Stegostoma tigrinum: one gene and its partners. The protein of the gene in region 3 interacts with the protein of the main gene of each other region in a pairwise test. Links are inferred from orthologs where the notes say so. Each region holds a gene or a part of one and is shown on either strand. Other genes may lie near its edges.

Region 1 (10,411 bases), on a different chromosome or scaffold from region 3:
GAGCTCCAGGTGACAGCTTTGCTCCCATTGAATCCATCATCGTTTGTACTCGTTCCATGTCGATGCTTTTTCCTAATGGAGAAAAGCCTCTCGAGATCCCAACTGAAGCATTTTTTATTCCCAGCAATATTTTACCAATTCGTACTTTCTCCTTTCCACCTAAAGACAGCAGCTAAAAATAGGATATTAGTCAGAAGATTCACAAGAGTAAAACACAATGAGTGCAAAGAAAACAAAAATAACTCAACAAATTACCTTTAGTTCACAGGATGAACTAGGAATATCCAACTTAAAATACTTCTTAAATAAGCAGATTTGTTCATGGTCACTGAAAGGCAATTTAAACACAGATGCATTCTTAGTGACAAAAGATATATACAAAATATAAAATAAATATATTCAAAATGTCAATAGTTCCAGGACAGCAATTGCAACCATAGTGATCCCTGTTTCTCTGAAGTGAACTGTCATCCTTCTTTGCAAATCCTGCTGAGGTCTTACCCCTCGCTAGCTCCATATTCTCAGAACAGTACCAAAATGCTTTGAATACTTCCATTTCTATAATTTTGGCCTCTTGAGAGCCTTAAGCTTAATTGTGTCACAATGGTGGCTGTACCTTCAGCCACTCCAGACCTAAATTCTGGAATTTCCTCCTTAATCCTCTCTTTACTCCTTTAAGACATCCCTTCAAATCCAAGCATTATACCAAACTGTTAGTCTTTTGCCTAACATGTGATAATGTTCCCATAAGTTAGTGTTGGTTCTCCTACCTGGAGACAGAATTCTATCACAGTAGCTGCTGTTGGAATCTAAATCAGTAATTGCAGGAAAAGAACTCTATGCAAGATCTGTCAATATTGGAAACGAAGAGTCATGGTTCTTTGACTAAGTTTTGAAATGTCTCTCCCTTGACTATTTTTTTAAACCTGTACTGACATAGATGCAAAATTGGTTGTTAAAGCCAGCAAAGGAATTTGGACTGTGTATATAGGGCACTAGTATTATTAAATAGGCCTAAATTTGGAAGTGTTGTGATCACCTTTTTGGAGGCACAGCAAAACTATCCAGCATTAGTCTCGATCTTTAAACACAATCACATAGCATCACCCCTTAAACCAAACCATTGTCTAACAGTAACAAATATGTCATTAAATGTAAACAATCTGTTAATGGAACTGTACACTGAAAAACAGCTTCCTATAAACCACTGTATCCTCCTACACATAGCTGCAAGTGGACCTATTTTACTGTGTGTGTTTTTGGCAACACTGATAAGGTCAGCATTTCTTGCTCAGCCCTAATTGTCCTCAAGAAGGTTGTGAGAATTTGTCTGGAACTGAGTGGTCTGCTAGCCATTTCAGACAGCATAAAAAAATCAAGTATATTGCAATGGATTTGGAATCACACAAGCCAGACTGTTAAAGATGACAGATTTTTTTCCCCCAAAAGCAGCACTAGTAGGTCAGATGGTCTTTTTTTAAATGACATTCTGGTTGTTTCATAGGCAGTGTACTAGAGAATTTAAAAGGCAGTGAATTGGACCTTTGAGAAATATCAGAAGAATCTAACTAATGGCAAAATTTATAATAATCATTTAGAGTGCTCAGCTGATATTTTACAAACTCTATTAGTCTGCTGACTGCCGATTCGAGGTTAATACTGCGAGCTAAAACAACGTTACCCATTTAAATGTAGGTTGTCTAGTCTTAGGCCACGGCTTGTTCCGCAGTACTCTCCTGTGTAAACCTCCATCATTCTTGCTTCGCTCCATACCTCTACAAAGACTATGTCAGCAGGTTGTTGAGGAGAGAACCGTAGATAGAGTATACATGGAGTTTCCACAGTATTGGTTTGAGGCCGTTCCAAAGTAACAAGTTCTGCACTGAATCATAACAAAGGGAACAATGTCACCTTTAACTTAAAGTAAAACATTTTATTTCAAAGTTATAGCCTATTGTAATTTTCTTTTCGTCTTTCCATCTCAAATAGTGTTATATTTCTGGTATACCACAACATTTTCAATGAAGTGAAAATTGAATACTGATTAAATCAAATACTTCACAATTACGACATGCCGTTTGCAATTCAATAAAATTGTACTCCCGGAGTTTAGAGACTCAGAGGAAACCTAAATTGAGGTATATATTGAAGTGGACTGACAAAGTGGACATAAACAGGATGTTTCCTTAAATGGGGCAATCTAGAACATGAGGTCATAGTTTTAGGCTAAGGGGTAGAAGATTTAAAACTGAGATGGGAGAAATTACTTCTCTCAAAGGGTCATGAATCTGTGGAACTCACAACCCTAGACAAGAGGGAATGCTGGGACGTCAAGCAAATTTAAGGAGATAGATGGATTTTTAGTTAGCATAGGGTTGAAGAGTTTTAGAGAACAGTCAGGAAAGGACAGTTGAAGCTGAGATGAGATCAACCATGGTTGTGTTAAATGGTGGAACAGGCTCAAGGAGTTGAATTTCCTATTCCTCCTCCTAGTTCTTTTGAGAATAAGTTACTATGGTGGAATGGGAAAATATATGAAAATATTTAAGGTAAGCAAGTAATAGCTAATATTTAAATAAATATTACATGTTTACCATAAATATACCTTCCCCTAAGACATCAAAACCAACAAAAAGGGTGAGTCAAACATGGCTAACAAAAGTTAAAGTCTGCATTAGGTCAATGGAGGCGATTTAAAAGATTGCTAGAGAAAGCATTAAAGTTACTCTTATCCAGCCTGCCCCAGGGATTTATCTGAAACGAGCAAGGGTAATTGTCAGTGGGAAGCCTCCCTTGGCCAGTGAATCTAGAACCCAGAGACAGTTTCATTATAAGGGGTGGACCATTTATGATAGGGATGAGAGAGAATATCTGCACTCAGAGGGTGATGAATCTTCAGAATTCTGTATTCCAGAGGGCTGTGGAAGGTCAATTATTGAATACATTCAACACAGAAAGTAATGGCTGTTTTGATATTTAAAACATAATGTAATATGGGAATAGCTTAGCAAAGTGGCATTGAGGCAGCAGATCAGCAATAATTTAACTGAATGGCAGACAAGGCTTGAGAGTAGCAAAAGTAGACTACATTTAACATCACTTTATATCACAAAGAACTGACCAATCATCAAAATCACATTGCTTATTATGTTACCAAAAAGACAAAACATTAAAGTGTATTTGTTACCACCAATGAATGGAGATAAAGATAATAAACCCCAGGATTTATGTCTATTATCCAATTTTATTGTGTGCTAGTAATCTGGAAAGTTGTTTAACAACATCTGGATTTTCAATCAGTCATGTGTGACAAGCAGCCAAAGTACTCAGCAGCACCACCACAGGCAGTAAGATGGGTCAGCCATCAGGAGCTGGGAGTTAGGCTATGAATTTAATCGTCACAACGTTGCCCAAGTAAGTTTTACTTAATTTCACCAGAACCGTCTGCGGTCTGCCACTTAAGCAGGGCGAGTGGAAAATTCAGCTTCCCCAGGCAATGCCTACAGAATCTGCTGTGGTGGGTATTCCATGGGTAAGTCCCACCTACATTCAGATTAACGATTAAATAGCCAATGGTTCTAAGGGATACCATAGGCATTTTGACGGTATTTGTGGCATCAGCGGCGGCGAAATAAACTCACAATAGCAAGACTCTGTTTAAAAAAATCAAATCCACAATGAGAAGAAACAGCGGATCAGTCTTTTTAAAAAGATTTGTATTAGTGTCTACGTTTTGTCTATAGTCCAGTGGCTCGCGATAGAAGGAGGCAGTGAGGGGCTGGATGCACTACACTAACGCCGGGCCTGCACACACCCCTCTTCCCCGGAGTGGGAGTAGGGCTCCGGCCCAGTCTCCCCACCGAGCGGGGCCCTGATCCGGCGGGTCCCCGCAGAGACCACGAACCGATCCCTGATCTCCCCCTTACCAGGCAGCGACCTCTCCATCATCCGAATCGCACTCAGTGACCGAGACCCGCAACCGGCCCAGGCCGCACGGCCAAGCGGCTCGGACCGAGACCCGCTCCATCCCCGGCCGGAAACTGACAGCGCGCAGCCGCACTCCCTGGCCAGCGAGCTCAGCTCAGGGAGCACGGTTAACAAGCACTAACTAGCGCCGGCACAGCTCAGGGAGCACGGTTAAACAGCACTAACTAGCGTCGGCACAGCTCAGGGAGCACGGTTAAACAGCACTAACTAGCGCCGGCACAGCTCAGGGAGCATGGTTAACAAGCACTAACTAGCGCCGGCACAGCTCAGGGAGCATGGTTAACAAGCACTAACTAGCGCCGGCACAGCTCAGGGAGCACGGTTAAACAGCACTAACTAGCGCCGGCACACAGCTCAGGGAGCATGGTTAACAAGCACTAACTAGCGCCGGCACAGCTCAGGGAGCATGGTTAAACAGCGCTAACTAGCGCCGGCACAGCTCAGGGAGCATGGTTCACAAGCACTAACTAGCGCCGGCACAGCTCAGGGAGCACGGTTAAACAGCGCTAACTAGCGCCGGCACAGCTCAGGGAGCACGGTTAACAAGCACTAACTAGCGCTGGCACAGCTCAGGGAGCACGGTTAAACAGCACTAACTAGCGCCGGCACAGCTCAGGGAGCATGGTTAACAAGCACTAACTAGCGCTGGCACAGCTCAGGGAGCACGGTTCACAAGCACTAACTAGCGCTGGCACAGCTCAGGGAGCACGGTTAAACAGCACTAACTAGCGCCGGCACAGCTCAGGGAGCACGGTTAACAAGCACTAACTAGCGCCGGCACAGCTCAGGGAGCACGGTTAAACAGCACTAACTCGCGCCGGCACAGTTCAGGGAGCACGGTTAAACAGCACTAACTAGTGCCGGCACAGCTCAGGGAGCACGGTTAACAAGCATCAACACAGCTCAGGGAGCACGGTTAAACAGCACTAACTAGTGCCGGCACAGCTCAGGGAGCATGGTTAACAAGCACTAACTAGCGCCGGCACAGATCAGGGAGCATGGTTAAACAGCACTAACTAGCGCTGGCACAGCTCAGGGAGCACGGTTAACAAGCATCAACACAGCTCAGGGAGCACGGTTAAACAGCACTAACTAGTGCCGGCACAGCTCAGGGAACATGGTTAACAAGCACTAACTAGAGCTGGCACAGCTCAGGGAGCACGGTTAAACAGCGCTAACTAGCGCCGGCACAGCTCAGGGAGCATGGTTAACAAGCATCAACACAGCTCAGGGAGCACGGTTAAACAGCACTAACTAGTGCCAGCACAGTTCAGGGAGCATGGTTAACGAGCACAGTTAACCAGCACTAACTAACACTGGCACAGCTCAGGCAGTATGGTTAACCAACACTAACTAGCAATGGTACAGTGTGGAGAGCACAGTTAACCAGCACTGGCACACTTCAGGGAGCACAGTTAACCAGCATTAACAAGCATTAACCAGTACCAGCACAGCTCAGGGAGCACAGTTAACCAGCACTAACTAGCATTAACACTGTGTGGGGAGCAGGATTAACAGGCATTAACCAGCACCAACACAGCTCAGGGAACAGGGTTAACCAACTCCGACACAGCTGAAAGAGCAGGGTTAACTAGCAGCGACACAGCTCAGGGAGCACGGTTAAGCAGTACTAACCTGCACGGACACAGCTCAGGGAGCAGGGTTAACTAGCGTGAACCAGCACCAACACCTCTCAGTGACCAGTAATAATTAGCATTAACCAGCACCAACATAGCTCAGTGAGCAGCGTAAACCAGCTCCAACACAGCTCAGTGAGCAATGTTAACCAGGATTACCTACTGTAATACCAGCACCAACACATCTCAGGGAGCAGTGTTAACCAGGATTACATGATGAAATACCAGTAATAACATAATTCAGTGGGCAGCTTTCCCTGGTGTAATACCAGCACCATCAAGGCTCAGTGAGCAGCATTATCTGACATAATAAGACATAAGATATAGGAGCAGAATGAGGCCATTCAGCCCATCAAATCAGTTCCTCAATTTGATCACGGCTGATACATTTTTCCTGCCTTCTCCCCATAACCCTTGATCTCTTTGCTAAGCAAGGGCCTACTTATTTCTGTCTTAAATGCACTCAATAATTTGGCCTCCACAGCCCTCTGGAGTAATGAGTTCCACAGAGTCACCACCCTTTGGTTGAAGAAATTCTTCCTCATCTTAGTTCTAAGGGGTCTTCCCTTCATCCAGAGGCTGTGCCTTCAGGTTTTAGTCTGTCCGATCAATGGAAATATCTTCTCCATGGCCATTCTATTCAGGCCTCTCAGTACCCTTTAAGTTTCAATCAGATCCCTCCCATCCTTCTAAATTTCATTGAGTACAGACCCAGAGTCCTCAACCAGTCCTCATATGACAAGCCCTTCATCCCTGGGATCATTCTTGTCAACCTCCTCTCGACCAACTTCAAAACCAGCACATCCTTCTTTAGATTTAGGTCCAAAACCACTCATAAAATTCCATATGTGGCCTGACCACAGCCTTATGCAGCCTCAGCAGGACATCTCTGCTCTTATATTTTTGCCCTCTTGTAATCAATGCCAACATTGTGTTTGCCTTCCTAATCGTCATCCGAACCTACATGTTAACTTTAAGAGAATCCTGAACTAAGACTCCAAAGTATCTTTGCACTCCCGATTTCCAAAACTTCTCCCAAATAGAAAATAGTCTATGGCTCTTTTATTCCTACCAAAATAAATAACCTCACACTTTGCCACGTTGTGTTCTATCTGCCATGTCTTTGCTGTCTTGCCTACATGTCTGACTCATTCTTCAGTCTCCCCACCTCCTTAACACTACCTGTCCCTCCACCTACTTTTGTGTCATCTGCAAGCTTAGCAACAAAATCTTCAGTTCCTTTGACTCGATGGTTAATGTGTAACGTGAATATCTGTAGTCCCAACACTGACCCCTGTGGAACTCCAATAGTCACTGGCTGCCATACTGAAAAATACTCCTTTATCCCCACTCTCTGTTTTTTGCCATTTAGCCAATCCTCTGTCCATGCCAGCACTTTACCCCAACACTATGGGGTGTTATCATATTCAGCAGCCTCCTATGCAGCTCCTTTGTCAGAGGCATTCTGATCGTAACAGCTCAGTGAATTGCATTAACCAGCATTACCTGCTGTAATACCAACACCAACACAACTCAGTGAGCAGCTTTGCCTGGTACAATATCAACATTAACTCAACTCAGTTACCAGTCACCACCTGGTGTATTAACATAATTAATTCAACACAGTGACCAATCTCTGCCTGGTGTAATAACAGCACTAATGCATCTTCATGTCCAGTCACTGCTGGGGTAATATTAGCATTAGCTCAACACAGTGAGCAGTCACTGTCTCGTATGATATTCGTATTTAAATAACTCAATGACCAGTTATTACCTGATGTAATATCCATATTAAAAAAAACTTGAAAACCAATCATTTCTTGGTGTAATATCAGCAATTCCAAAGCTCAGAAACTTGTCATTGCCTGGTGTAATACCAGCATTAACACCACTCTGTAACCAGGTCTCGCCTTGCTGTTGTATGATATATACTCCGACATTCATATTTTCTATGTGTGTGGGTTCTTTGGGGTGACACCATTTAGTGAATGTGACAATAGACACTTCCAGTCTTATAAGAAGCATTGTGTACATTAAACAATACATAGTTCATTACATCTCTGCAACTATCTACACGTAATAATAAACACTACATTATTACACTAACTTTTAGGATGATCAGTTAAACATCTGTTTTGCACAAAATCCTACTTTACTTCCAACCAAATCCCCACAACAACATCACAGTGAGTGGTGCAAGTAGGTCTTAACCTTTTCAGATCCAACAACAACAATGTCAGATCAGCTTAAACCCAATTTGGAAACTATCATTGATAACAAGGTGAAGAGGTGGATGAACACAGCAGGCCAAGCAGCATCTCCAACATCTGCATTTCCTACTATCTCTAAAACAATTTTAACCCCACTGTGAAGCTTTTTCTAAGGATGCTTCTCCAGCATCTGCAGTTTCTACTATCTTAGAATCTGTCATTACCTGTTGTAAAATCAATACCCAAGAATTCTGGCATCTTTCTACCCAGTGGATCAGATTTTTTTTGTTTTGGGCTTGCATAATGTCATTACGTCTCGAACTTTTCAGTTCTGACAGGAAGCCACAAACATGACAATTTGATAAACGAGCAAACTCCATAAAAAAAGAAATGTGACATTAAAATAAACCACATAAATGACTTTTAATCTCGCCATTAAACAACTACCAACCTTGGTGACTGCAGGTTTTCTGGTGCTCTTCCGCCATTCTCAATAATTCTTAGTGCGCTTCATTCCAAGGACACACCGCCATCCCTGTTTGTGCCATGTGCATGGCAACCAGGCAGTGCTCCTGTTCCCTAGCTACACCAGGCTTCTATGTGACAACCATTTGTCTACTGTTCAGTTAATTTGCAGACCTCTATAAGACCCCAGTTGTCTGTGGAACCCAGTTTGATAGACATTGATGTAAAGCACTGTTCAACTCTCTCCTTGAGGAAATACTCTCACTACTCTAAGATTATCATGGGCTGTAACCCAAACTCTTCATATTAATACAGCCTCCATTCCCCCCACCCAGGATGTTTGAAGGCACAGTAAATTGTGTAGATGATAAGTTAGGAATAGAGATCATCTAGATGAATTGGGCAAAACTACGGTAGATGCAAAGATATTTGATCATCCGCTTTGAATCTAAGAAATAAGAATGTGAATATTTTTTCATGTTGACAGACTAAAAGCTGAATTGGAACAATGGGATTTTCTATTCTCATCATAAATATCGAATACAAATGTGCACAAATACAAAAAGAAACCAACAAGGATATTGGTCTGTTAACCTATATTTGAAGAGGTTTAGGAATTCAAAAGTACGCAACTATATTTCGGTTGCACAGAGCTACAGACAGATCTGATCTGGTGATCTGTGTTCAATTTTGAGAATTAAATCTCCAGAATCATGTTTCCCATAAAGTTGTGGTCAGTTTAAAAGTACAAGCCTGGTATTGAGTCATTAGGTAAGGGTATCTGCAATAATAAAAACAACTTGCTCCTATGTAGCATTTTTAACTTAGAAAAATGTTCCAAGGCACTTTACAACAATATACCAAACAAATTTTGATACTGAGCCACCTTGGAAGATATTAAGACTGATGATTAAAAAAAAGGTTAGCCAAAGAGATAGGTTTATGAGCATCTGAAATAAGAAGTGAAAGATGCAGGAATGGAGAGGTTTAGAGAGGGAATTGCAGACTTAGATCCCAAGCAACTTAAGACATAGACACCAATAGTGAAGCAAAGGAAATCAGAAGTGCACTAGAGGATAAAATTAGAGGAATACAGAGTACTTTAAATTTTACAGTTGGACAAAATGACAGTGATAGGGAACGGTGGTAAGGAACAAAACAGATGGTAAACACACTGACCTTACCGATGAATCATGATCTAGTTGATTGGTAGAACACGCTTGAGCGGTGGATAGCATTGTCCTATTTCTATGTTTCTGCCCTCTTCATCTTCAACATTAATGATGAGGACTTTGAGGATTTTTGTACCTCCGTGACCAGCTGCCTCAATTACCTGCTGCCCACTTCAAACTCTATCCAACCATTATATCGTTGCCTTAGAGCCAAATCACAGTGCAGCTTCCCTGCATTTTTTCCTCAAATATTCACCGAACCTAGCTCCATCATGGTACCTACCTTCAACTCTTTCAAATAAGTTGTTAGTGCACAGGCCATCTGTTGCACACCCAATATTAAGGTTAGTTGATATTTGAAGATGTTCTCATTTCTGAGCATTTTTCTTAATCTCTACCTAATTTATTTGCATCAAATTCAATGCTTAGTTGCTCCAAGAAGAGCACTGCCTCTCTGCTATAACAAGGTGTACAGGTGGATGAACACAGCAGGCCGAGCAGCATCAGAAGAGCAGGAAAGCTAACGTTTCAGGTTTGGACCCTTATTCATCTGGGAACATAGTAGGTCAGGCAGCATCAGAAACATCAGCTTTCCTGCTCCTCTGATGCTGCCTGACCCACTGTGTTCCTCTATCTCCACACTGTGTTATCTCTGACACCAGCATCGGCAGTTCTTACTATCTCTGCGTGATATTACACCTGGTACTGGGTTGTCTGGAAAGCAAAGTGTTGCAGCTGAATTACAAGGCCTACAGATGGCACTGTTAAGCTTAAGCAGTTCTGAATGAAAACAGAGCAATGGATTCTTATTGTGTTGCAGAGGAAAAACAAATATGCATGAAGATATTATGAACAAGTAATGGAACAATACTTTGCAAATACAGCAATGACCTAGTTGCTTATTGCTAGACTATTAATCCAGAGACCCTGGTAATGACCT
Region 2 (10,532 bases), about 35 Mb from region 3:
TGGCTAATCTCCATAGTCCGTGACCACTACCCAATGGAATTCTTTTCAGACCGTAAAAGTTCTCAGAGAAGGAAGCACTGGTCCTGGACAGATAGTGATGCTCAAGCAGGAGGTCTAGCAGCACGTAGATTTCATCGAACCATCGCCATAGAAACCCATAGCGACTGGGGTTGGATTCCGCAAGCACCTAGAACAGAAACATATGCTCTGTCAAAACATTGTGCCTTGTGCCAGGATGTCAGTCAGTAGACTGACTGTCAGAAGTTAGTATTGCTCATTTCCACATAGGTATCTTAGCATCCTTAAAAAGTAATATGAAAGATCACGGAAATGAGATTGGAGGAAAGCCAATATAGACCAGTTAACCTGGATTTTTGTGCATTTTTAAATTCTATTAACATTAAGCACCCCTTTATTATTTGCCGTCACACTATGGCTTTTAATCCCCTCCTCTTCAGGAACACCCAGTTATCTATGGAACACATTGACTTCAATTTTATTCCCTGATATCTTACTCTACAGTTATATTTACGTCTTTTAGAAATATGTTCTTCCCTATTCCACTTCTCAGTGCTGACTTGCAAACGTACTAACTTATGTTCCCTTTCCCCAGTGGACAATTTGTTTGTCTCTGTATATATATATATTTTACAAAAAATATAATGGTGCACATTGTTAGAATTCAGTAACATTCAGGGTCTTAAAAAACACCACACACCTTGCATAATTTCAAATGAAATATCACTAAATGCTTTTCACAAAGAGCTCACTGGTTTGCATTTTGCTAATCCTGTCTAGATTACAGTACAAATTTAACCCTGTGTGAAAACGCGACTGTGCATACAGTGAATGGGGTATCCTGGCTTCTAGCATCAACTGTCGCATTCTTAGAGACATACAGCATGGAAACACGACCCTTCCATCCAACCAGTCCACGCCGAACATAATCCCAAACTAACCTAGTTCCATCTGCCTGCTCCTGGCCTATATTCCTCCAAATCTTTCCTGTTCAGGTATTTATCTGAGTGTCTTTTAAATGGTGTGACTGTGTTCACATCCAACACTTCCTCAGGAAGTTCCTTCCACATGCAAGCCATCTTCTGAAGTAAAAAAAATGTCACCCCGTGTATTTATTAAAATCTCTCTCCTCTCACCTTAAGATATGCCCCATTATCTTGACAACGCCCATCCTAGGGAAAAGACACCTACCATTCATAATCAAAACCTAACACTGTCCCTTACCTCAGCACTGAACACGTACAAGAATCAGGTGAAAACAGAACCAATTGGTGTGTAATACTCCCTAATGAAATGAAAAGTCCTCAAATGTTCAGATATGTTAAGGGCAGCTAAAGAAAGTGTTTGAATCCATGATTTCCAAAGCAGGATACCACTGGAGTTTTACTTCAACCATTTCTGGGCATGTTGCAGATTTGTTCATCGGGATTCGTTGCTAAGATCAGTCAACTTCATTATTGCGACAATAGTGTTAAATGGGCCATATTTCTATTTTGACTCCTGAATGGTGTGTTCGTCTAATGATTATGTGCACAACTGGAACCTATGGGATTATATTGAAGAGTAATCTCTTTTTTTTATTTCCATGACTCAATATAGACTCGCATTGCTGAGATCACAACCATGCAAAAACTATCAACTGAAGTTCAGGTTAAGCTCGAGTACAGCATCTTCATTTCAATTCCATTAAAACATACTTGGTCCCTGTGGGATTAATTTAAAAAGAATCCAGAGAATAAACATACATGGTTCACTCAATTCTGATTCGACAAGTGGCTTGATGTTCAATTTACACTTCCTTCATTTCCCTCTATCAGAGATAGTAGGAACTGCCGATGCTGGAGAATCTGAGATAACAAGGTGTGGAGCTGGATGAACACAGCAGGTCAAGCAGCAGCAGCAGGAAGGCTGACGTTTCAGGTCCGGATCCTTCTTCAGAAATGATCCAGAAAGGGTCTAAACTGGAAACATCAGCCTTCCAGCTCCTCTGACGCTGCTTGATCTGCTGTGTTCATCCAGCTCTACAGCTTACTGCCTCCCTCTGTACCACATTGGTCAACACAGCTGGAGAATCCAGTAGCTTAAAAGTACTGTCAGAATCAGAGAACATGTGAGAGATAATGGGAACTGCAGATGCTGGAGAATTCCAAGATAATAAAATGTGAGGCTAGATGAACTCTGAGGCTCTGATGAAGGGTCTAGGCCCGAAACGTCAGCTTTTGTGCTCCTGAGATGCTGCTTGGCCTGCTGTGTTCATCCAGCCTCACATTTTATCATCAGAGAACATGTGAAGCAGGTTTACACCATAATTCCTAACTGTGAATCAAGGGTGAATTTGCACTTGCAACAACATGTGGAAGACTGACAAATAATGCTTTTGTCTTTAACATTGTGGTTCTAGTCAAGAAAGAAAAGGTCGTTATTTTTCGGAAATGAGTTGAAGAGTGAGTCACCTCTGGGTCATCTTCGACCGAAGTACCTGACTCTGGGCCTCCATCCGGAGGCGCTTTCGGCCTTAGGCCAGCCTGCAGCCCTTGCTCCTAACCCCCTGGGACAGCGGCAGCTGCGCCTCCGATTCCAATCCGCGGAGGCGGCAAGGACCCTCTGCCTACCCTTCCTCCTGGGGAGGGCACGGTACGAGCCTCACCTTGCAAGCATGTTGCGCGGCGGGTCTGACCGCCGACATCAACGTGTCCTGAGCAACCACCTCAAAGATGGACGGCCGGCCCGGGCTGACAGCCAGGCCGCCCGTTAAGTGAGCACCGCGCTCCGCCATGGCCGCACCGTCTCCTGGGGCAACCGGCGGATGACCCCACCCACCGCGTGATCCGAGACGGAATAGGGCCTGCCCACCACGGCGCCCCGCCTATCCGCTCGCCGCGCCCTCGGAGGCAACCCCGCCCACTGAGAGGACACCGCCACGGCGATGCTCCGCCCACTGGGTCGCCGCGCAACCCCAATGCACGCGCCCGACAGTGCTGCCGCGCCCACTCAAAGGCACGGAGCTGCTCTACTCCGCCCATTGACGTTCCGCGCCCGTAGTGAAGCCCCGCCCACCTAGTCGTCCCACGATAGCACGTGGTCACTGCAGTTTAAGGAAGTGCAGAGACAGTGGGACTCGGTGAACTTCAGGTAGTGCAAAGGTGGGAGGTCGAGAGTGTACCTGACTCCCTACGGCTTGCTGTTCTACACTACCTAAGTCCCTACTTGTAATTGTGTAAGATCTGCCCTTGTTTGTTTTACCAAAATGCAATACCTCACATTTATCCACATTAAACTTCATCCGCCACTCCTCAGCCTGCTGACCCAAAAGATAATTTGTAATCTTAGATAACCTTCTTCACTGTCTACAGTACCATCAATTTTAGTGTCATCTGTGAACTTAATTACCATTTAATCATTTAAATAAATGACAAACGAAAGTGGACCGAGCACCGATTCCTGTGGAACACCACAGGTAATGGACACGAAAACAAAGTTGCTGGAAAAGCTCAGCAGCTCTGGCAGCATTTGTGAAGAAAAAGAACAGAGTTAATGTTTCGGGTCTGGTAACCCTTCTTCAGAACTGGTAAAGTGCAAAGAGTCTGATAAATAACTCTCCGCCACCACTCTGTGCCTCCTGCCAGTTTTACATCTAATTGGCAAGCTTTCTCTGAATCCCATGTGATCTCACTTTACTAATTAGCCGATGATGCAGAAACTTGTCAAAGGCTTTTCTAATGTCCGAGTAAACAACATCTACTGCTCTGCCCTCATCAACCTTCTTGGTTACTTCCTCAAAAAAACTCAATCAAGTTTGTGAGACGTGATTTCCCTCGCACAAAACCCATGCTGACTATCCCTAATCATTCCTTGCCTCTCTGCATGCACGTAAATTTTCTTTCAGAATCACCTCCAACAACTTACCCACCACTGAAGTCAAAATCAAAGGTCAATAGTTCCCGAGCTTCTTCATACATTCCCTTTTAAACAAAGGCACATTAGCCACTCTCCAATCATCCAGCACTTCACCCCATAGTTATAGATGACACAAATATTTCCGCAAGGGGCTCCTCAATTTCCTCCCTAACTTTTTACAACATCATGGGATACATTGGAACAGATCTTGAAAATTTATCCACCCTTTATATTTTCTGAGGCCTCCAGCACTTCGTTTTTGTAATGTGAACTGTTTTCAAAACATCAATATTCATTTCCTTTCTTTCATTTCTTTCTCCACTGACACAAAACATTCATTTAATATCTCTCCTATCTCCTGAGATTTAACACAAAAATGACCTCTGATCTTTAAGTGTCCCTACTGTCTCTCTATAGCTCAGGTAAATACAATTCAGAACCAGACAGAATACAGAATGTTCAGAACTGACAATGCAAAACCAAACATGAGGAGCAACAAAGGATTATGAGAAAATATTTGCAGGTAATATAAAAATAATTATTAAAATCTTCTACAAATACATCAATAGTAAAAGGGTTGTAAAAAGGGGAGTAGGACCAACTAAGGATAAAAAAAGAGTTGACACTTAAGAGACATTAGGCATGGCTGGAGCGAATAATGAATGAATACTTTGCATCTGTATTTACCAGGGAGGCAGATACTGCCCAGGCCACGGTGACAGAAGAGGGAACTCAGTCACTCAAAGGGTTTGAAATTAGTGAGGTGGTATTGGATAAGCTATTACTACTTAGACGTGATTAGGCCTTGGGATATTGAGGGAATGGAGAGTGGAGATTGCAGAGGCGCTTTCAATGATCTTTCAGTCTTTCCTACATTCAGTGACGGTGTATGGTTGGAGAGTTGAAAACTTCATGCCTTTGTTGAACATTGTTGTTTAAGTCAGTCCACTGATTACAGAACACTCCATTTAACTCTAGTGATGAAGAAACATGTAGAAGCAATTATTTGGCATAGAACGACTCACCACAATGAAAATGTGCATTGGTTTGGAGGACTCAATATGGATTTATTAAAGGACAATCTTGCCAAAGTTACTTGCTGGAGTTATTTGAAGAGGTATCAGAGAGGATTGATGATGGGAAAATTGTTGTGGTATGCACAGACTTCCAAAAGGCATTTGATACAACACCAAGCAACAGTTCTGTGAGGAAAGATACAGAACAAGGGAAAAAAAAGTCAGTAGCAACATGAATACAAAATTGTCTGTAGAATAGGAAACAAAGAATTTTGGTTAATCGGTATTTTTCAGGCTGGAAGGTGGTTTGTAGTGGACTTCTTCGTGGATTGTTATTAGAACCCTTGCTTTTCCTGATCCATATCAACGATCCAGATCTTGATGTGCAGGGGACAATTTGAAAGTGTCGTGGATGACTGAAAATTTGGAAGAATTGTAAACCACAAGGAGGTCAGTGTAGAACTTCAAAAGAACATAGATAAACCAATGGATTGCGTGGATAGGTAGCAGAAAGTTCAATGCAGAGAAGTGAGAAGTAATGCGCCTTGGTACAAAGAACACTGTTCTAAAGGGAGCACAGGAACAGAGAAACCTGGACGTTATGTATGTAAGCCGTATCTGGTAGGACAGGTGTAGAGAGCTTTTAATAAAACTTACATTACTTTCGGCTGAATTAATAGGGGTATAGAGTACAGGAACAAGACGATAATGAAGAACTTGTGTGAGACATTGGTTATAGCTTAGTCGGAGTGTCTTTGATTAAAACGAATGAAGAATGTCAATCCTTTAGTGGAGAAAAGGTTTACGAGAACATTTCAATTGATGGGATACTTCCGTTATGAGGAAGGGGGGGAGTGAAGGGTCACCCGGGGGAGGGGGAAGCGGTGATGGTTCACCCCGGGGGGGAGAGGAGGGACCACCCCCGGGGAGAGGGCGGAGGAACTGAGGGGTCGAGACACAATCTCTGTCTGTCTTCAGGCTCCTTCCTCCTGCTCTGTCCGTTCCTCCCCCTGTTCCCCCGCCCACATCCGGCCCGGCCTCCCCGGGACGGTTTTTCCGGGTACACAGTGCCTCTCCCACTCTGGGTGGTTCCATCTCTGCTCTCTCCATTTCCCCGGCTTCATCTCGGGAATCTCACAGGTCGGTCTTTTCACCCGTAAACCTCTCTCTCTGTGTCTGCAGCTCCCGTCTTCAGGCCTCGCTCTTCACAGACTGTGCCCACTGCCTTCACCCTCATCCCGCCTCCTGACCATCCCCGGTCCCGGCCATCGCCCAATCGCTTCAGACCCGCTCTCTTCCCCCACCCCCCGACTCCGCACCCCAACTCCCCTCCCACTCCAAGCCCCCGACTATCTCCACCCCCCCCCACCCCCCCCCCCACCTCCCCCCCACTCCCCCCCCCACCCCCCCACCCCCCCCCCACCCCACCCCCCCCCACCCCCCCCACCCCCCCCCCACCCCCCACTCCCCCCCCCACCACTCCCCCCGCCACTCCCCCCCCCACACCCCCTGCCACTCCCCCCCCACACCCCCTGCCACTCCCCCCCCACACCCCCCTGCCACTCCCCCCCACACCCCCCCCCACACCCCCGCCACTCCCCCCCCACACCCCCCCCCACACCCCCCCCCACACCCCCCCCACACCCCCCGCCACTCCCCCCCGCCACACCCCCCCACACCCCCCGCCACTCCCCCCCCACACCCCCCGCCACTCCCCCCCCACACCCCCGCCACTCCCCCCCCACACCCCCCCCACACCCCCGCCACTCCCCCCCCACACCCCCGCCACTCCCCCCCCCCACACCCCTGCCACTCCCCCCCCCACACCCCCCGCCACTCCCCCCCCGCCACACCCCCCGCCACTCCCCCCCCACACCCCCCGCCACTCCCCCCCCACACCCCCGCCACCCCCACACTACCACCCCACTCCCCCACACTACCCCCCCACTCCCCCACACTACCCCCCCACCCACCCGCCACTCCCCACAACCCCACCCACCCCCCCCACTCCCCCCACCCCCCACTCCCCCCACCCCCACCCACCCCCCACTCCCCACACCCACACCCACCCCCCACTCCCCACACCCACACCCCCCCCCCCACTCCCCACACCCACACCCCCACCCACACCCCCACTCCCCACACCCCCACCCACCCCCCACACCCCCACCCACACCCCAGCCATTCCCTGCCACTCCCCACCCACCTCCCACCACTCCACCCCCCACTGCCCCGCCATGCCACTCCCCAACAACCCCCCTGCCCCGCTATGCCACTCCCCAACAACACCCCCACCCCCCCGCCACGCCACTCCCCCACCCACCCGCCACGCCACTCCCCACCCACCCGCCACGCCACTCCCCACCCACCCCCCGCCACGCCACTCCCCACCCACCCCCCCGCCACTCCCCACCCACCCCCCCGCCACGCCGCTCCCCCCGCCACTCCCCACCCGCTCCCCCCGCCCCCCCCCACCCGCCCCCCCCCGCCACGCCACTCCCCACCCGCCCACCCCGCCACGCCACTCCCCACCCGCCCACCCCGCCACGCCACTCCCCACCCGCCCACCCCGCCACGCCACTCCCCACCCGCCCACCCCGCCACGCCACTCCCCACCCACCCCCCCGCCACGCCACTCCCCACCCACGACCCCTGCCCCCCCACTCCCCCGTCGCGCCCCCCCCCCACTCCCCCGTCGCGCCCCCCCCCACTCCCCCGTCGCGCGCGCCCCCCACTCCCCCGTCGCGCCGCCCCCCACTCCCCCGTCGCGCCGCCCCCCACTCCCCCGTCGCGCCGCCCCCCACTCCCCCGTCGCGCCGCCCCCCACTCCCCCGTCGCGCCGCCCCCCACTCCCCCGTCGCGCCGCCCCCCACTCCCCCGTCGCCCCCCCCACTCCCCCGTCGCCCCGCCACGCCACTCCCCACCCCCCCACCCCCCCCCACTCCCCCCCCACTCCCCCCCCTCCCCCCCCACTCCCCCGCCACCCCCCCCCACTCCCCCGCCACGCCACTCCCCACCCACCCACCACCACGCCCCCGCCACCCACCCCCACTCCCCCCCCCCACCCACCCCCACTCCCCCCCCACCCCCACCCACCCACCCCCACTCCCCCCCCCACCCACCCACCCCCACTCCCCCCCCCACCCACCCACCCCCACTCCCCCCGCCACTCCCCACCCCCACTCCCCCCGCCACTCCCCACCCCCACTCCCCCCCGCCACTCCCCACCCACCCACCCCCACTCCCCACCCACCCACCCCCACTCCCCACCCACCCACCCCCACTCCCCCGCCACCCACCCCCACTCCCCCGCCACCCACCCCCACTCCCCCGCCACCCACCCCCACTCCCCCGCCACTCCCCACCCACCCAGCCACCCCCCACTCCCCACCCCACCCACCCCCCACTCCCCCGCCACTCCCCACCCACCCACCCACCCCCCACTCCCCACCCACCCACCCCCCCACTCCCCACTCCCCCCCCACTCCCCACCCACCCACCCACCCACCCACCCCCCCACCCCCCCACCCACCCCCCCACCCCCCCACTCCCCACTCCCCCCGCCACTCCCCACCCACCCACCCCCACTCCCCCGCCACGCCACTCCCCACCCACCCCCACTCCCCCGCCACGCCACTCCCCCACCCACCCACCCCCACTCCCCCGCCACACCACTCCCACTCCCCCGCCACTCCCCACCCACCCACCGCCACTCCCCCCCCACTCCCCCCCCCACCCACCCCCACTCCCCCCCCACCCACCCCCACTCCCCCGCCACGCCCCCCCCCACCCACCCCCCACTCCCCCGCCACGCCACTCCCCACCCACCCACCCCAACTCCCCCCGCCACGCCACTCCCCACCCACCCCCACCCACCTGCCACCCACCCCCACTCCCCCGCCACGCCACTCCCCACCCACCCACCCCCGCTCCCCCGCCATGCCACTCCCCACCCAAGCCCCCACTCCCCCGCCACACCACTCCCCACCCACCCCCCCCACTCCCCTGCCACGCCACTCCCCACCCACCCCCCCCACTCCCCTGCCACGCCACTCACCGCCCACCCTCCCCCACTCCCCACCCACCCTCCCACACTCCCCACCCACCCTCCCCCACTCCCCACCCACCCTCCCCCACTCCCCACACTCCCCACCCACCCTCCCCCACTCCCCACCCACCCTCCCCCACTCCCCACACTCCCCACCCACCCTCCCCCACTCCCCACACTCCCCACCCACCCTCCCCACCCTCCCCACACTCCCCACCCAACCCCCCCAACACTCCCCACCCACCCCCCCCACCCCCCCCACTCCCCTGCCAAGCCATACCCCACCCACCCCCCCACTCCCCTGCCACGCCACTCCCCACCCCCCTGCCACGCCACTCCCCACCCCCCCACTCCCCCGCCACGCCACTCCCCACCCACCCCCCCACTCCCCCGCCACGCCACTCCCCACCCACCCCCCCACTCCCCCGCCACGCCACTCCCCACCCACCCCCCCACTCCCCCACTCACCCCCCCACTCACTCCCCCACTCACCCCCCCACTCACCCCCCCACTCACCCCCCCACTCACCCCCCCACTCACCCCCCCACTCACCCCCCCACTCACCCCCCCACTCACCCCCCCACTCACCCCCCCACTCCCCCACTCACCCCCCCACTCACCCCCCCACTCCCCCACTCCCCTGCCACGCTACTCCCCACCCACCCCCCCCACTCCCCTGCCACGCCACTCCCCACCCCCCCCCCACTCCCCTGCCACGCCACTCCCCACCCACCCCCCCCACTCCCCTGCCACGCCACTCCCCACCCACCCCCCCCACTCCCCTGCCACGCCACTCCCCACCCACCCCCCCCACTCCCCTGCCACGCCACTCCCCTGCCACGCCACTCCCCACCCACGCCACTCCCCACCCACCCCCCACTCCCCCGCCACGCCACTCCCCACCCACCCCCCCCCACTCCCCCGCCACGCCACTCCCCACCCACTCCCCCCACTGCCCACCCCACTCCCCCCCACCCCACTCCCCCCACCCCACTCCCCCCCCACCCCACTCCCCCCCCACCCCACTCCCCCCCCACCCCACTCCCCCCCCACCCCACTCCCCCCCCACCCCACTCCCCCCCCACCCCACTCCCCCCCCTCCCCACTCCCCCCCCTCCCCACTCCCCCCCCCACACCACTCCCCACCTACTCCCCTGCCACGCCACTCCCCACCCACTCCCCCCACTGCCCACCCACTCCCCCACCACCCCCCAACTCCCCGGCCACGCCACTCCCCACCCACCCCCCCCACTCCCCACCCACCCCCCCCACTCCCCACCCACCCACCCCACTCCCCACCCACCCCCCACCCACCCCCCCCACACCCACCCCCCCCACTCCCCACTCCCCACCCCCCCACCCCCCCGCCACGCCACTCAACCCCACTCCCCCGCTGCGCCACTCCCCCTGCCACTCTCCCTGCCCACCCCGCGCTCCACGTGCCCGCGCCCCACTACCCCGGCCGCCCCCCCCCCCCCGCGCCCCACTACCCCGGCCGCCCCGACCCCCCCCGCCCCCCCCACCCCGACCCACCCCCCGCGCCCCCCCCACCC
Region 3 (10,709 bases):
TCAGAACTCAAATATTCCATACCAAGTAAAGTCCTTGTTAATCTTTTTCTACATGTTCTCCAATTTAATGCCCTTCCTACAAGGCATGTGACCAGAACTGTACACCACACTCCAGGAGTGACCTCACCTACATCTTGTGCAACCTCAAGGCATCCCAACTGCTATTTTGGAGTGATCAAAACAATGAGGAGAGACATGAAGGCTGTTGAAAGAGGGACGACAAGTAGACAAAGCTCTTGGCTAAAATAAGCCTTAAAAAGGTGAGGGTGGGGCAGAGAAGGTTCAGAGGACAGTTATTTGGAAAGGTGACACTGGTACAGATTAAATAAATAGAGCCAACAAACTATAGCTATGTACCTTGGAAAAGCTGTTTAAACTGAGCAGTTTACAGTAGCATGATGGACTGGTGATACAAAGCAAGGCAAAGTTGAACACAATACAGGAAAAGGTGGCAAAGTTTTTGGTCAAATCATACAGCTTTGTTTAGCTACAAAACATTGTAGCTTGATGCAAGCCAGTTACAACTGAAGTCTGTTACTTGATGCAACCATTCCTACTGCTACCCACACCAGGTACTTAATACAAGTGGTTACAATTCAGCAAGGCTCACTTAATAGGACAACTGTCAACAATTCCAGTAACTACAGCAAAGGTAAAGAGTCGCTTGCTTAGAAGCAATTTGCCTCCTTTTGGCAAGTGTAGGAGTTAGATCAGAATACTCCTTTCAAGTGGTAGCTCTAGCGAGAAAAGCACTGTTGGCAAAGGCCAGCATTCATTTTGCTGGGCCTGGCTTGTGAACTGCCTCAAGCTAAGGAGGCTGCAAAACCAAAGGGCACTCCAAGTACAGGATGAAAATTTGCATAAGTGTTCAATTCCAATCACGAGCTACACAAGACTGAGTGCTACACAATTTTACACTCTTCCCACAGATGCTGTCAGACCTGCAGGCTTTCTCCAGCCATTTCTACTCTTGTTTCTGGTTATACAGAGCACTGCTAAAGATCTTCAAAAAAGGTGATTCTAGCCTGAGATTAGATTAGCACATTGCAATCCACAACTTGATCAGTTGAAAAAGTGATCACTACCTGTTGCAGTATTCTTTGAACATTGGAAACAGTTTAAGACTGAATATCATACAAGGGCATTCGATACCCTTGCAAGCCCTCTCCTGCTAAGGAGTCAGTCTCAAACAGTAATTTGCTGTCTGCTGTTAAAAAGGCTAGAGTCTCCATGTTGGAAATATTCTAATTTAAATTAGAAAGGAGGGAGGTCAAAAGTAACTTAATTTAAGATTTTCATTGACTGCAGTTAGAATGCAAGGGATCAGGGTCAGAAGGGACATTATACAGTATCAAACAGTATGCAAATATAAGTGCTATCACTCACTGAATGCAGTATTGGTTGATCAATACTGCATCAACCAACTTACAGGAGGTTTAGGCTATTACATGATGGCTAAAACCTATTTGTTAAATAACTGCATGGATTTTGCATCTAGATCAAATTCTCTAATCACTTCCTAGCAGCAGCCCTTTGGACCTCATTGTGCAAGTCTGAATTGAGTAAGCTTGTGTATTTTTGAAATTTAGTTATCAGTACTTAGTAAACTAAAGTTAAAGTATCATGGGATGCATGCGTAGACACTCCAGGGTAGAAGTCTGATCCTCCGAAGTGATGTTCTTAGCAAAGAACTTCATAGTTGACTTGATAGTAGGAACTGCCAATACTGGAGAATCTGAGATAACAAGGTTTAGAGCTGGATGAACAGAGCAGGCCAAGCATCAGGAGAGCTGATGTTTCGGGCCTAGACCCTTGATCAGAAATCCCCCCTGAAGACTTGAGCTGAAACGTCAGCTTTCCTGCTCGGTTTGGTGTGTTCATCCAGCTGTACTGTACACCTTCATAGTTACCTATTTCTTGCTCCATGTTTCAACATGGAGCAATGGTATGAAGCATCACTACAAATTTAGTTTAACCAAATTAAACTAGTTTCCCATAGAAACAACACCCCATAGCTTAGAATGGCAAGTTCTAAACACGTGACTAGTTACAAATCAGACCCATGTTTTAGCGGTATGGGCAGCTGGTTATTTAGCACCTCCAAGGAGAAAGCAGATTGACACATCTACACAAAAGTGCTTTATTACAGATTTACACAGTCTCCTGCTTGCCCACTCACCTGTTTATAAACTGTAAGAGGCAAGTGACAGTTTAAACACTGTCAGTCAACTTTCAGATCAAACTGAATATGATGTCAATTTTAAGGGAGAGCAAGATAAACTCAATTTTCCCTGGCAGGGCATTGATAGTTATTGAAAGCCTTGCTTTTTCACATTCCATGCTCCTATGTCACCAGCTCAAGTAACACCCAGTTAAATTTGTTAAAAATGCCACTAGTAAGTCAGTTGGAATGTAACTTTAAACAGGCTAATTTATAAAGAGTGATACTTAGGGTAAGTTAGCAACTGAAGAACCCACTGTTTAGTTGCCCAATTTAATACCTGTTAAGTTACTGGAAAACCAATGCATTCTAACATCTTCAACTGTATTTAGATACCAAGTGTGAAAAATACACAAACTATGAAACAAAGTTGAGAAACACTACATAGGAATTAAAGATAAATACAAACAATTCTATTCAAGAATCCAACATATCTACAGCTAAAGACACCACTAAGTACAAACAAACCAAACGTTTAAAATGATCATATCTTAATTGATGAGTTGAGCCACTATCAAGCCCATTTTGGAAGCATAACTCAACATTAAAAATTACAAGCAAAGTTACAACTGGTTGAAAAAAGTTCAACTGTCTCACTGCTAGCTGAGAACATGGTCATGGGTTGCACATATAAAACAAGTTATTTACAGTACAAGAACTCAAATTTCAGTTTAAAACACTGAAGGGTCATTAAGCAATTGTCCCACTTCCACCTCAGATTAAAAGACAGGCAAACATTGGTGGGGTGGAAGCCTGGTACTGTTACCATTAGAAACATCTGCACTAGGCTCCATTTGGCAAAAAAAATCATTCATAGCCTGAACTCACTCCAATTTATTAAAAAACTAAATGAGATGGGCACCATCAGCATTCGAGGCCTGCAGTAAGGTAGAGCTTTAAACTAGGGGTGGGGTTAAAGAAGACAAGATTTTTTTATAAACCGTGCAAGCATTCACACATTTCCTCATACGGGCGACATTGTGAAACGGTGCCACGGTGTAATCCAAGGTTGAACCTCCACCCCCACCGATAATATTTCAAAGTGAAAAATTACGGCGAAATTGGGGGGGGGGGTAGGTTTGCAAAACGAGAGATATATAGAGAGAAGCAAATCCGGGGGGGGGATTAGGAATAATCTACAGGCGGGAGGGAGGTGGGGTCGAAGATTAGAGACGGGAGCGCTGTATGCGGGTGGGGATGACATTTACCCAGGGCTCGGTCTGAAGCGAAGGCCCATGTTACGGGGGGGGGGGGGGGGGGGAAGAAGAGAGAAGGTGTAGAGGTCAGGAGATGCAGGGGCGGGGGGGGGGGGGGGTGTTAAAATTTTTTGTTTAAAGTTAAGTTAAAAAAGAGAAAAAAAGTCATCGTTTACTGACGGACTGATTGAGCGAGTTACCTGCAGGTGCTCCTGGAAGCGGATGGGCAGGATCTGAGCCATGTCGACAGACGACGCTGGCGCTCAGCGGGTCCAAAAGGAAAGAAAAAACACACCGAGATCCTCCGGCGAGAGAATAAAAAACCAGCCAGGGAAGAGAGAGAGAGAGAGGCGAGTAAGTGCGGATCTGTGTGGGGGGAGAAATAATAAATACAAAAAAATATTATTTCTACATCGAATGACATCAGCCAAGAGGGAAATGTTCCAAAAACCCCTCCCTCAGACGGAAGGGGGTCAGGGGGAAAGCCCGTTATCACCGTGAAGGGAGGAGACGCCCTCTCAGAGACTCACCTGAAGCTGCTGCCCTTCCTGCCGCCCGCCTCCCCTTTTATAAACCGTCAACGGGGCCCCCACGGAGCCGCAGCGGGAGCCGCAATGGCGGAAAACCGGAAACGGCGGAGCGCTACCCCTGCACCCGGTGACACGCCCCTCCACCCAGACCGTCAGATCAAAGCGAGGTGAGGGGGGGTGGGGTCACTTCGGCAAGCCCACCCGCTGTGTAACTAAAAAAAACAACAGACAACCCCCACACGCCCGTCCACCCCTTCGCTCATTGCAACCATATACGAGTAAAACTTGGTCTTTCGGGTACCGCCCCCCTTCAGATTTGACGGCGAAAACTGGGAAGCGGGGGTGGGCGGAAATGGGACTTTTTTCGGTCGGCGGAGAGTTTTCCTTCGGGCGGCCACATCATTGGCACATGATTAAGCATCACTTCCGCCTGGGCTTCCGGGTTTCTCCACCTTCCGCCTTCAGCTCCTCATTCATTGCAAAGGCTGGCCCTGCTGTATCTGCAATGATGGAGGGAAGGTTGTTGTGTCCTCTCTCTCGGCCTTTTGGAGATTTTTAAAATATATTCCAGCAATAAAATTAGTGCATTCCCCAAAAAAAAGTGTATGTGTGAGTTCATACAAATAAATGAAGTAGATTTTATCTTTCATGTCCCAGTCTTTAATTTTTGGAACAGAGGACATTCCATGGAATGATGAAGTCACTTAAGGTACGGGGAGGCCATTCGCTCCATGATGACTGTCTCAGAGCACTTCAGTCTCATTCCTCTACCGTAGCCTCATAACCGGGCAAGTTTATTTCCCTCGAGTCCCCATCTAATTTCCCAGAAGGAACAAATCAGCTTAGCAATGAAAAGTAACACTTGGAAATTAACAGAGATAATGGGAACTGCAGATGCCGGAGAATTCCAAGATAATAAAATGTGAGGCTGGATGAACACAGCAGGCCAAGCAGCATCTCAGGAGCACAAAAGCATCTTCGGTCCGCCTCCCCCTCTCTCCCTATTTATTCCAGTTCCCTCTCCCCATCCCCCTCTCTGATGAAGGGTCCAGGCCCGAAACGTCAGCTTTTGTGCTCCTGAGATGCTGCTTGGCCTGCTGTGTTCATCCAGCCTCACATTTTATTAACTTGGAAATTAACACACTGATTATCTGTTTTGAAGAGTACAAGTTGAACAAGTGTATCATATCCAGTTTTGCTTTCTGGGAAGTCATCAATCATTACTTAATGATTTTCGGGATGGTTGAGGATGTTGGGTTGACACCACAGTCACATCAGCTATGATCTTACTTATTGGCAGAGCTGGCTTGAGATCTGAATGACCTACTCCTGCTTCTCATTTATATGATGATATGCAGTGTGCTATATGTAGCTATGCTGAAATGGTTTCTTGCTCTAGAGAAAGAAAAATTGGGTTGATATTAAATTACATGATCACCTCTCAATGACTCAAGCTGTGACTCAACAGTTCTTAACTCTGGATGACCTATTCTGGGAGATTTCACTTCATGACCTCCAACTTTCCACTACTGCTTGACCACACTCCTTCTGTTGGTCATTCAGTGTGTCAATCATTACACACAACCCTTTCCCAAAGTAACAACGTGTGGAGCTGGATGAACACAGCAGGCCAAGCAGCATCTTAGGAGCAGGAAAGCTGACATTTCAGGCCTAGACCCATCATCAGAAATGGGGGAGGAAAGAGGGTTCTGAAATAAATAGAGAGAAAGGGGAGGCCGATTGAAGATGGATACAGGAGACAGACAAGTTAAAGGAGCAGGGATGGAGCCTGTAGAGGTGAGTGTCGGTGGGGAGGTAGGGAGGAGATAGGTCAGTCTGGGGAGGACAGACAGGTCAAGGGGGCGGGTTGAGGTTAGTAGGTAAGGAATGGGGGTGCAGCTTGAGGTGGGAGGAGGGGACAGGAGAGAGGAAGAACACGTTAGGGAGGCGGGGACAAGCTGGGCTGGTTTTGGGATGCGGTGGGGGGCCGGGGAGATTTTGAAGCTTGTGAAATCCACGCTGATACCATTGGGTTGCAGGGTTCCCAAGCGGAATATGAGTTGCTGTTCCTGCAACATTCGGGTGGTATCGTTGTGGCACTGCAGGAGGCCCAGGATGGATATGTCTTCTGAAGAGGAGTTGAAATGGTTCGTGTCTGCGAGGTGCAGCTGTTTATTGTGAACCGAGCGTAGGCGTTCTGCAAAGCAGTCCCCAAGCCTCCGCTTGGTTTCGCCAATGTAGAGGAAGCCACAATGGGTACAGCGGATTCAGTATATCACATTAGCAGATGTGCAAGTGGACTTCTGCTTGATGTGGAAAGTCTTCTTGTGGCCTGGGATGGGGATGAGGGAGGAGGTGTGGGGGCAGGTGTAGCACTCCCTGCGGTTGCAGGGGAAAGTGCCGGGTGTGGTGGGGTTGGAGGGGAGTGTGGAGGAGACAAAGGAGTCATGGAGAGAGTGGTCTCTCCAGAAGGCAGACAAGGGTGGGGAGGGAAAAATGTCTTTGGTGGTGGGATCAGATTTCAGATGGTGGCAGTGTCGGAGGATGATGCATTGGATCTGGAGGTTGGTGGGGTGGTATGTGAGGACGAGGGGGATTCTCTTTTGGTTGTTATTATGGGGACGGGGTGTGAGGGATAAGTTGCAGGAAATGCGGGAGACGCGGTCGAGGGCATCCTTGACCACTGCGGGGGGACGTTGTGGTCCTTGAAAAATTAGAACACCTATGGGAGTGGAATGCCTTATCCTGGGAACAGATGTGGCAGAGGCGAAGGAATTGGGAATAGGGGATGGCATTTTTGAGGGAAGGTGGATGGGAGGAGGTGTATTCTAGGTAGCTGCGGGAGTTGGTGGGCTTGAAGTGGATATCGGTTTCTAGGTGGTTGCCCGAGATGGAGACAGAGAGGTCCAGGAAGGTGAGGGATGTGTTTGAGATAGTCCAGGTGAACTTGGGGTGGAAGGTGTTGGCGAAGTGGATGAACTGTTTGAGCTCCTCATGGGAGCACGAGGCGGCGCCGATACAGTCATCAATGTAATGGAGGAAGAGGTGGAGTTTAGGGCCATACAATTTTAACCTTTCCCAAAGTTTTCATTGTGTCCTGATTTTGACTTTTGTGAGTTTGGTCATGATTACACTGAGGCAAGTGATTAAGGCTTGCACCAGAAAGATAGCATCTTAGAGGGTCAAGGTTTTGGCACAGAGTGTTAAAGTTTATGCCCTGTACAAAAGTAATGCAGTTTCAATCAACGGATGGGAATCAGAAAACAATCCTAACAGGTTTGGAGTCATGCAGAGCTGTGCTCTTTCCTGTGATCTATGTGTTGGATAGAACCCTTTTGCCAAGTCAATCAAAAAGAATGTGAAAATAAGAAGGGTGACCATCCAGGTAGTGGAGGCACTGAGGTCAGAGCTTTTCTGTAGGTGGGCAATGTCATCATCTTCTGCTCAGTTCCACTGACGATGAATAGACCGATTTGAACTTGAATCAGGAGGCAAGATAAATTGAGCAAAGAGCAAGGCCACGCTTTTTGGGAACTGAGCCAACTAAACCTTTGTTCTTCATTGTCGGGTCAGATTACCTGAAGATGCTCGGATATGGTTTGGAGGGGCCAGGGTACGTGAACAAGTAACTGTTATAAAACAAAGCATGGGTACAGAGGAATGATGCTCCCTCTCCGTTGCAGGTAAGAACCTAGTCATCAGTTGCTGTGCTCTCAATGTTGCAGGCCTGGCCCATTCTTCACTCCTGCACCACAGTGGTCACCTGAGATATTTTCCACTTTATCTGGAGGTTGAAGAAGGACTATGCTCACAGAGACACACCCTTCATATGCAAATACAAATGTTTACAGGTTCTACCTGCCCCTGGGTGTTACAAAGAATGGGTCCATCCACATTGTTGTAGAACACTGAAACTAGATGGACTTTGCTGTATCACCTATCCCTCGTGGAGTAGTTTCTACCAAAAAAATTCAGGAAGTGGTCTTCACCTGACAGCCTCTCGACCTTGTGGCAAAGGGAGATGGCAGATCCTGTCAGATGGTTTCCATGTGTAAGCTGTCAAAGTCATTTGGTAGAATACTTCGCCGCCAGAACTAACAAAAACAAGCACCAAGGCATGGCTGGGTATGATGTGAGAAAGGCCCTCCCTGCCAAATCCTTCCTACAAACTCAGAATCTCGTCCTCCCACTGTATGTTGCAGTTGAGGTGTCTGTGGTGGAACAGAAATGGTTGTTCACCCCCTTACGGAATGTGTCTTGGTAAATATGGTCTGGAGAGAGTTTTTATCCCGAGCAGCTCCATCGCTCAGAACTCGACTGCCTGGATTGTTCCCAGTGATCCTCACTGAGACAAACCAATTGGGCTAGAAGATGATCAACTCAGTGAAAGATGAAGAGTCATCTTGACTCAACACATTAGCTTGCTGTCTTGCTATGAATGCTGTTTGACCCACTGTGATCATCAGCATTTGTTGCTTTCAGTACATATTCCAGTATCTGAATAATTTGCTCCTAATCAGGAAAAGATGCTCCTTTGGTCGGCCTGAAACTTGCTAGTCTTCCAGCTCAAGGACTTGATTTCAGCAGAGTGATGTAAACTGGCACATTCCAAGGTCTATGAATATGTGCGGAGTGATGCACTAAAGCTTGGGGCAGCCACTGCAGAGGCACAAGAGAATGTTCAAATCCACGTGGATCCACAAAGCATCCCACCCAGGCCCATTTGCTTATCACCCACCTCATCTGGGCAATTTAGCATGGCCAATCCACCTAAGGTGCACATCTTTGGACTATGGGAGGAAAACAGAACACCCAGAGGAAGCCCACACTGACACAGAGAGAACGTGCAAACTCCACACAGTCACCTGAGGGTGGAATTGAACCCAGGTCCCTGGTGCAGTGAGGCAACAGTGCGAGCCACTGTGCTGCCCAGAATGGTTGCTGTTCAAAGCATTTTCAGCCATTATACAATGAGGGCTGCGATCTGTCGAGATCCTCAGGTTCAATACCTGACAAGGCATGCACACTGTGAATATCGAGGGTATTGAAATTGTTGTGAGGCACCTCGGCATGGAGCATAGTGTTTGGAGAAAAGTTTGTTTTCATTGCACTTTCAGTAATTTCCAATTTGAAATGTTTTGATCTTGTGCTGTATACTTTACATGGAATATATTTGTAAATGTTAAGACTGTTTCAATTATATCAAGTGGAACACTCCATTTGGAGACGTTGAATTTTGTTGCAAGTTCTGTAATAGCCGAGTTGAGAAGTTTTGCCATGTAATTTGACAAATTTTATGAACAAAGTACATTTTTGAAAAAAAAATTACAGCTCATTGCGTAGCCATTTAATGGGCAGCACGGTGACACAGTGGTTAGTAGTGACAGGAACCCAGATTCGATTCAAGCCTTGGGGTGTCTGTGTGGAGTTTGCACATTTTTCCAACTCTGAATGAGTCTACATTTCCTTCCACTCTAAATTTTCTCCAGTTAAAAAGTCAGCAGGCTGCAGGCATTGGCTTTGACAGCAGCCACAAATTGTTTACTAGCCACCCCTTGCTAGTCACAGTCTCAGGTTGAACCGCACCACTCACAATTGGTGTCCTATTCGACCCTTAGGGCAGGGCGATTAGAGGTAAGCAATAAATGCTGATCTCGGCAGTGAAACCCACAACTCACATCCCAGGAACAAATTGGTTAAAAAATTGACCCCATATCGTCTCTGTTATAAAGACTGTCTGCTCCCATCATCTGTCTTCTCTCCTGCTTTAGTCCTATCTGTTGCAGCTCTCATTTTTATCTGTATTTTTAGTATCATCTAGGCAGCCTCCCATTATACTCCAAGAGAACTTGGCAGGGTACAGCTGCTATAAAGTAAAGGAAATTGTACCTTTACTCTGGTATAGCGACTGTTACTCTACATTTCAGAAGATCCCCCTACATTGGGGAGACGACATGCAGGCTGGGTGACTGCTTTGCAGAACACATGGGTCCTGTCTGCAAAAGCTGTATTAGAGTCTAAGATTTGCATCTTATGGATGTCCTTTACAAATGTTCATTATCAACAGCAGGGGAGGTGATGGCCTAGTGGTATTATTGCTGGACTGTTGCTATAGAAAGCCAGATAATGTTATGGGGACCTGGGTTCAAATTCTAGCACAGCAGATAGTGGAATTTGAACTGAATAAATATCTGGAATGAAGAGTCTAATGATGACCATGAACCCGTTACCAGTTGTTGGGAGAACGCATCTGGTTCACTAATGTCCTTTAGGGAAGGAAACTGCCATCCTTACCTGGTCTGGCCTACATGTGACTCCTGACCCCCAATAATGTGGTTGACTCTTAACTATCCCCTGGACAATTAGGGATGGGCAACTGATAATGGGAACTGCAAATGCTGGAGAATCCAAGATAATAAAATGTGAGGCTGGATGAACACAGCAGGCCCAGCAGCATCTCAGGAGCAAAAGTTTCGGGCCTGGACCCATCATCAGAGACGGGGATGGGGTGAGGGTTCCAGAATAAATAAGGAGAGAGGGGGAGGCAGACCGAAGATGGAGAGTAAAGAAGATAGGTGGAGAGAGTATAGGTGGGGAGGTAGGGAGGGGATAGGTCAGTCCAGGGAAGACGGACGGGTCAAGGATGTGGGATGAGGTTAGTAGGTAGGAGATGGAGGTGCGGCTTGGGGTGGGAGGAAGGGATGGGTGAGAGGAAGAACAGGTTAGGGAGGCAGAGACAGGTTGGACTGGTTTTGGGATGCA

What was found.
Region 1: the proteins of cltcb (region 3) and c20h10orf88 interact in binary tests that used the Homo sapiens proteins (3 or more experiments, as listed by UniProt). The link is inferred for Stegostoma tigrinum from reciprocal best matches to the Homo sapiens genes CLTC and C10orf88.
Region 2: the proteins of cltcb (region 3) and ap2b1 interact in a two-hybrid assay, tested with the Homo sapiens proteins (2 studies listed by BioGRID, with this or other methods). The link is inferred for Stegostoma tigrinum from reciprocal best matches to the Homo sapiens genes CLTC and AP2B1.

The regions. Positions count from the first base shown.
Region 1 is NC_081373.1:28,389,356-28,399,766, forward strand, and holds the start of c20h10orf88 (ATPase PAAT), read right to left. Parts: upstream 4,060-10,411; 5' UTR 4,028-4,059; coding exon 3,927-4,027; intron 1,883-3,926; coding exon 1,682-1,882; intron 329-1,681; coding exon 256-328; intron 173-255; coding exon 1-172. UniProt on the Homo sapiens protein: ATPase that regulates mitochondrial ABC transporters ABCB7, ABCB8/MITOSUR and ABCB10. Regulates mitochondrial ferric concentration and heme biosynthesis and plays a role in the maintenance of mitochondrial homeostasis and cell survival.
Region 2 is NC_081380.1:7,249,846-7,260,377, forward strand, and holds the start of ap2b1 (AP-2 complex subunit beta), read left to right. Parts: upstream 1-5,965; 5' UTR 5,966-6,071; intron 6,072-10,532. Other genes in the region: pex12 (peroxisome assembly protein 12), read right to left, coding at 1-187, 2,666-2,794. UniProt on the Homo sapiens protein: Component of the adaptor protein complex 2 (AP-2). Adaptor protein complexes function in protein transport via transport vesicles in different membrane traffic pathways.
Region 3 is NC_081380.1:42,413,587-42,424,295, reverse strand, and holds the start of cltcb (clathrin, heavy chain b (Hc)), read right to left. Parts: upstream 4,085-10,709; 5' UTR 3,948-4,084; intron 3,784-3,947; 5' UTR 3,660-3,783; coding exon 3,618-3,659; intron 1-3,617. UniProt on the Homo sapiens protein: Clathrin is the major protein of the polyhedral coat of coated pits and vesicles. Two different adapter protein complexes link the clathrin lattice either to the plasma membrane or to the trans-Golgi network.